Caenorhabditis elegans: one gene and its partner. The protein of the gene in region 2 purifies or fractionates together with the protein of the main gene of each other region. This does not show direct contact. Each region holds a gene or a part of one and is shown on either strand. Other genes may lie near its edges. The genes, in order: oig-2 and Y69E1A.5.

Evidence for each region.
Region 1: the proteins of Y69E1A.5 (region 2) and oig-2 fractionate together in Caenorhabditis elegans (co-fractionation; one large-scale study listed by BioGRID). This does not show direct contact.

Annotation. Positions count from the first base shown.
Region 1 is NC_003280.10:13,006,000-13,010,075, reverse strand, and holds oig-2 (Ig-like domain-containing protein), read left to right. Parts: upstream 1-1,911; 5' UTR 1,912-1,912; coding exon 1,913-2,022; intron 2,023-2,066; coding exon 2,067-2,157; intron 2,158-3,291; coding exon 3,292-3,417; 3' UTR 3,418-3,463; downstream 3,464-4,076.
Region 2 is NC_003282.8:10,956,060-10,959,436, reverse strand, and holds Y69E1A.5 (Phosphatidylethanolamine-binding protein), read left to right. Parts: upstream 1-1,781; 5' UTR 1,782-1,793; coding exon 1,794-1,874; intron 1,875-1,919; coding exon 1,920-2,145; intron 2,146-2,266; coding exon 2,267-2,478; 3' UTR 2,479-2,574; downstream 2,575-3,377. Other genes in the region: sri-19 (Serpentine Receptor, class H), read right to left, coding at 190-360; Y69E1A.4 (Serine/threonine-protein phosphatase), read right to left, coding at 2,848-3,162, 3,207-3,377.

The DNA of each region.
Region 1 (4,076 bases), on a different chromosome or scaffold from region 2:
AATATAATGAATATCAGAGGTTTTGAATTGTTAGTTGTTTTTAGATACTGAAATAATTTTTGGCGATTTTCGGCTTTCAGAATTTTCAGAATATTTTGATTATTTGAGGTTCTGAATTGTTGGTTTTTTGAAAGATTTTTCCATGAAACTTTTTTGCGATTTTCTGCAAAAATTCCCACGAAAAATCTCAAAACTGGAAGGTATAAATGCGGTGACAAATATTAAAAAAAAACAATTCTCTGATTCCGTACAATTTTGCAAAAATTTCCAGCAAAGCGACAGGTATCTTCTGATCTCATTCACTTCAAGTTAACGTCTATATTCTTTTCAACTCAGCGGGCTCAAGTCCTCTTGTGTCTTTTATAATTACATGTAGCATTAGGTTTCCACAACGACCACGTCTCCGTGCTCTTTTTGAAACACCCATAATTTACATTCCATCAGACAGCTCGATTCTGATTGAAGTTTTCACTTTTTTCGAAATTTATGTATTGCTCCCCCCGGGTTACAAGCATATGTATAGTCGATTTTGAAACGATTTTGTTTCACTGAAAGTTTAAAAAAATGTTTTTTGAAACCTAGAAAAATGTGTTTTTTATTATATTTTCCCCAGAGTTGCATTTCTTTCTAGCAAATTAGAATGCCCAGAGTAGTTCAAAAAAATGTTTTGCCCCTTGTCTTTGTGATATCTTTTTCCGTACCTTCCTCCAAACTTCTCACCACAACCATTATATGGGCGGAGCCTAATAAACCCCTCCTGTTTCACAATTCAAATTTCCAGGTACATCATGTCATCAAAAGAGCTCTATAGACTCAAAACTTTCGACGATCACTATTTCGAAATGTCCACCGAATCAATCGGAGATCCTCTCCCAGATGGCAAGCCAAGTCCAACAGGGAAAAGCTTCCAACTATGTGATACCAGTTCCGAACGTCAAAGGAATTACCATGAAGATGGTTGTCACCTGGTGCATCCGTCATCGAGTCGAAGTTCCGAGCACTTCTACGTGGGAAGTTGACTATGTTAAATCATTGGATCGAGAGGAACTGAAAGATGCGATATGGGCCGCCAAGTATCTTCGAATGCCAATTCTTATTAATATTACTAGTTCTGAACTGTTTTTGCGAGCCGAAAATACACCGGTAGAGAGGTTAGATGAAGTGTATCCGATGCCGCACTGTGTAGGCAGAGCTCCGGAGAGAAGCACCAAAATCACCATTCACAAATTCAAATAAACTTGGATACAATTATTTTTGTTTTCTTTTAGTACTCAGTTCATAAATATATTAAAGTGGGATCCATCTTCGTTTTTTAGTGATTTTACAAAAGTTTTATAGTAGAAAAAAACAGAAAATAAACTGTTGCGTTCAATGCTGAAACATTTTTCAATGTTTGAAATGATAATTTTATTCGAGATTTCCAATGAATAAATAACTTTTCATAGAAGGTAGTTTTGGGAAAAAAAATTGGAAATTTTCGCGTCCAGAAAGTATGGAGTCCTATCAATGACTGAAAATATAAAATACTCTATAAGAATAAGAAATTGATATGTTAATAATCAGAAAAATACAATAATTAAAAAAATTCATAGAATCAAGTGAATTATTAACCAAAACTTTAATTCTATGCCATTTCAATTGCTGTTCATCGCGTGTATCGAATTCATTGACTTGCTTTGAACCAACAAATCAATCAATGCCCTCAACATTTTTCTCAATATTATTAAACATGTTGGCTTCAGAAAAAAGTGCTCTTTCATCTCCCTCCGCCTACTCATCTCTCCATCTCTGCCCCTCAAATCTCTCAGCTTCCGTCACCTGTTACTGACGGAATTGATCAGTGAGAAGCTCTTCGAGCGTTTTCATTACATATGTTCAGCCATCTTATTAGTTCTAAAAGGTTAGTTTCAGAATGGTTTTGGCTCCGTTTTTCGAGAAAGCTCCATCGCTTATCATTGCTCCAGACGGATCAGTTCTGTTCGAATGCATCTGTAATGCGAATCCACAACCAACAGTTAAATGGTAAAAGATTTTGGTTTATGAACCCCTAACCTTAACTACTGTAGGTTTTTGAAAGACAAAGAGCTGACTGGTGATCGTTACGTGTCAAAGATCAAGAAGATGGTTGGCAAGTTCACAGTTACACTGCATATCAAGGTAAGTAAGATTTTTGTAATACTGATAAACTGATCGGGATTCTAGATTAAGAAGAGAATAAGAAGAAAGGAACGGATAGAACACTTGATCTGGTTTTTAGAGGGAAACTTAAATTGTAAGAACATGGTGTAATATTGACCTTCGAAACACTTGCCTCGAGATTTTGTTTCACATTTATTTTAAAGTAAAAAACTTCAGAAACAATTTATTGACCTAGAAAATGTCGGCCATTCTTTTAAAAACCGTTCCTGGAAAGTTTGGGATGGTCTCCGGCAGGAACAAAAATTGAAAATAGGCTATACAATTTCGGAAAGTTTTTTTTTTCATTTATCGGAATCGAACATATATTTAAGGGCTGTGCGGTATTTTTTCGGCAAACCCACAATAATGTTTATTTCAAAATGATAATCCAACTTTTTTCATGCAAAATTAACATAGAAACGTAGAGAAAGGTTTGTTCTATCTGGAAAAAATACAAATTTTTTTGAAAAGTTTGAAAAAAAAGTTCAAATAGTGTCTGAAAGTTGTCGTTTGTCTAAACACTTTTAACGGCACTTTTTTGGCAAACGTCAACTTTCATGCACTATTTTTGATTTTTTAAAATTTTCCAACAAAAATAAATATGCACCATAACTGGCTAGATTCACCGTCGATGCACCATATCAAGTTAGATGCACCGTAACTGGTCAAATGTACCATAACTAGTTAAATGCACCATAACTGGTTAGATTCACCGTAACTGGTCAAATGTACCATAACTTGTCAGATGCACCATAACTGGGTAGATTCACCATCGATCATCAGCATAATTCACATACAATTTTTTTGAAATTCAGCTCAAAAATGAAGCTTGATGATGAAAATTAGGCAATGGGAATATTCATACTTTTTGAAAATAAAATTACTTTATATTAAAAATTTCAAAAAGTTGCTAAAAAATTGCCTCAATGCCGTAACACCCATCGGCATACTCACTTGGCACATTTTAAATCAAATGCCAATTTTGATCACTTTTTCATAATCTTCACTAAAATAACGCTATCTTCTAAAAGTACAAATACTTCTCTATATTTTCATATGAATTTCCAGAAATGAGCATTCTAGATAAGTTAATAACAAAGAAAATGTTTCCAGAACCCTACCCAAGAGGACCAAGGAGTTTACAAAGTGACTGCTACAAACACCCATGGCTCACACTCCGTTGAGCAGCAGTACATCTACAAATGCACTGGAAAAGAGGTTTTCAAGACTCTTGACTAAATTCTGCTAGATTTCTTTAATATTTCTTCCAATAAACTTTTCCGTCGCTATACTGTATCTTAATATCACTCGTAGAAGAAACAACGTGGTTATCATGTGATAAGAAGGTCAGAAATAGAGAGAAAAGATGTCAAAAATACTAGGAATTTTGAGTGTAGAGTTCAGAAAAACAGATTGAACAAAAAACGAAGTATACCCGATCAGGGAGATCGGTTTTTGGAAGGAAATAAAAATGATCACATGTGCAGAATAGTAAAAATGTTGATTGAGAAAATTTTGTTGGCGACATGTTGGAGTCAGATCTGTTCGAGAGTTCAAGTTGATAAGAATTCTAGTTTAAAAGTTTAGACTTTTGGTTTGGACATCTGAACTACAGGCTGATAGTTTAAACTGTAGGTACAGAATAGTATGAAAACCGTACGAGCAAACTTTGATGTCAATTTCCTTTGGTAAACATTCAGAATCAAAGATGGGAATGTTTGAAGACTTTTATGAAGTGTGCCAAATATAAAAGTACAATTTTTCAAAAAAAAAAAAAATTGAAAATTTTAATTTTGCGGCAAAAAGTGGCGCTAATTTTGTCGCCTAAAGTCTGAACAATGGCCAACTTTTCTATTAATTCATTGCATATTATTATTTGAAAGTTTTGAACTTGCGGC
Region 2 (3,377 bases):
GTGAAAACTAGCGGAAATTTTGCAAGCGGAAATTTAATGTTATGAACTTTAATAGAAAGGTTCTACAAATTTCAAATTGACTTCCACTGCAAAATTTGTTTCAGCTGCACTCAAACCAATAAACTAACGGTTTCTTCCATACTGCATGTGAACTTTTTTCGTGATTTTTAACACTGAAAATTAATTTACCTGCATATTAATCATAAATCCTTTATACATTTTAACTATCTTGGGATTTTTCATGATTAGAAATATTCCCAAAATGTTGAAAACCAATGCAAATGTACCATGAATTGAATAGAAAGTTAATAGGAAAGTTGGTTTAGTAACATCAATGGTCACTTCAGAATATGTATACATTTGACTTTTGAAAATCAGCTCAAGAGATTTGAATGATTGATTAATCAAAAATGGAAAAGAAATTAGAAGAAAGAAGTTAGAGAATTTGAAACAAATTAGGAGTGTGATTTGAGCAAAAGAGTCAGAAAGAAATGACTATAAGGGCGTAACTGATTAAAATAAGCTAGTTATCCGTCCAAATTCACCTGTCGTAGTCTTGGCATATCTTCTGGAAAGCTGAAATAGAAAGGTGTCAAGTGGTTAAACAACGTTTCGAATCAATTGTTTTAGGAAGAGAGTACTGTACTTTCATAAATATATTCAGGAGTATATGTGTCTGAACTTCTGAACTGTATAGATTGTCGAAATTTTCAATTTATCAGTAATTATTTGGTTGACAATTTAGCTCAAAAAATGAAAAAATTCACAAAATAGTATCTTTAGCTAAAGGTGTATGCTGGTTGAATGGCAACTCTGTATTTCATTTTACTATTGAAGATTCTACTTAAAATTACAAAGTCCAATAGAAAAAAAATTTAGTAATTTTTTTTACCTAATTCAGTACAGTCGTGAAATTTAGCAGTTCAAAACTTTCTCATTTTCATATTTTATCAGAACATTCGAAAACCACATTCAATCTCTGATGAGTAGGCATCCGGTGGAAAGATCGTTCAAATGAAGAGATTTAGAGTCAGATGGGGGCGGTCAACTGTTGTTGTGCTTTTCGTATGGGTTAAAGATGAAGAACAAGAAAGATATGAAAGTGTAATCTGAGTTCTTCCCGCCTTTTTGCTGTAATAAGTAGTACATCACAGTCAGTAGAATGACTCTCATAACTGCCAGATGAACCGACGTCGTAATTATTTTTTTAGTTTCTGGGCTAAGCATTCAATAGTTCAGTTTTACCGAGGTGAATGGGGTTTTCCAATAAAATGCTTCGTTTTTCATGGAACCTAATGTTTTAATTTCTTCCCTATTGGTCCTGCGCTCATTGCTCTCTGTTAACAACTTGTATGGGTAGAAGGTAAACATAATGGTAGGTAGGCATTCGGTTAGCAGAAAGGTTTGAGTACTGTCTTCCAACCTATTTTTTTTCAAATGGAACCAATCGTTTATTGTTTTGGGTTTTTTCCTTTTGTTGTTGTATTTCTCTTTTTGTATGTTCCATTACTTTTCACCTCTGATTCACCAGCTTGCATTGTACATCTTGCTCTTATTTCCATCGCTTACCATCCATCACCCCTTCCTCCCCCATTACATTGTGCTCAATGCTCTTTCTCTTAGTTCCCACGTCACATCTCCAGTTTCTTTATCTTCTTTTCTCTCTGTTCCATGTTGTTGTCTGCTCATAAACCGCCTTGAAACACCTGTTATTTTTCGTTATTTTCTTGTTTTCTTCAGTCTTCTCATTTGATAACCTCATTTTGAAAATCGTCTTCCAGAACACATAAAAAATGTCCGACATTTCTGCCGCTTTTGCTCAACACGAGATTACTCCAAAGATTATTGAAAATGCCCCAAAGCAGAAGCTTCATGTAAGTTTTTTTTAAAAGTTAATTGCTACAACATTGAAAATTCAGTTGTGCTGGGACGGAATCCAAGTTGAGCCAGGAATGACTATGCAAGTTCGCAACCTTAAAAATGCTCCGAGATGGGCTCTTCCAGGAGCTGACCCAGAATCAATCTACACAGTTCTTATGATTGATCCAGATAACTTGTCAAGAAAGAATCCATCTGTTGCCGAGTGGCTTCACTGGCTTGTCTGCAATATTCCAGCCAGCAATATTATTGATGGAATTAACGGAGGTAATAACTATAATAAAACGCGAGAATACTTATAATTCACCTGGCTTCTGTTCTCAAATTGTTGATGGTGATAATAATAGGACACACTTATACCTACGATCACGAAATGTATGTTTTCCAGGTCAACATCAAATGGCATATGGAAGCCCAGCTCCAGGACCAAGAACTGATCTTCATCGTTATGTGATTCTTATGTGGGAGCACGCTGGAAGACGCATCTCTGTGCCGAAGCCTAGCTCTCGTGCCAAGTTCAACGTTAAACAATTCATCGAGAAGAACAAGTTGGGAGACCCAATTGCCGGAAATTTCTTCCTTGCTCAACACGAGGGATAAATATTGTAATTTAATGTGTAATTATAATTGGATAACAACGAAATAGCCATTTTCTAATTTGAAATTATTTCTATGTAATAAAATTTAATTTTTGTGGTTATTGAAAATTCACTCCATGCTCAATCGAGGGAAATAATATAATAATAATATAATATCGAAAGTTGGCTAATAACTTCTTCGGAACAATTATGACAGGAATAAGTCCAGGTGGTTAAAATGTAACAGAATGTAAAGAAAAAGTTACTTGAGCAAAGCTAAAGATCGAACTCATTCGAAGTTTGATGAATCTATTGTTTTCATGATATGTATACGTTGTAGTAATTTCAATTTCTTTATTTCTACGAATAAAAAGTCTAAACGAGTTCAGGATCATTTCTTGGCCTTTCTCTCCTTTTCAAATCCACGTTTCTTGTCTCTGCTCTCCGGCCTGAAGACATTGATCGAAATCTTCAGTTTCTTATCAATACTAAAAACAGCCGCTGTGTTGTCATTCTGTCCACAGTAGTTTGGAGCCGAAAAAATTGTGACCAGACGTCGACCATCGAAGAATTCATAGCCATCTTCAACAACTTGATGACCACGGATAACCATTTGAAGATCCAGTTTTTTCAGAAATGCACGGAGAGCTGGTGGTCCGAAGACAAAAGATGCACCACGTGCGGATGGTTTATAGCCTTTTTCAGTCTGAAAAGATATTTATTATTTTAAAATTCTGAATGAACGCATACCGGATCAGGATCAGCCCATGTCAAATCAGTTAGAACACCAACATCAGGAATCTCGAGTGGTCTTTTGAAAACCGAAAACTGATTGAAACTTGTCAGATGCTCACTGATTCCTCCATGCATACACATAATCGTATTGTTAATCACAGCACAGAATGGGAAAACGTTGAACAT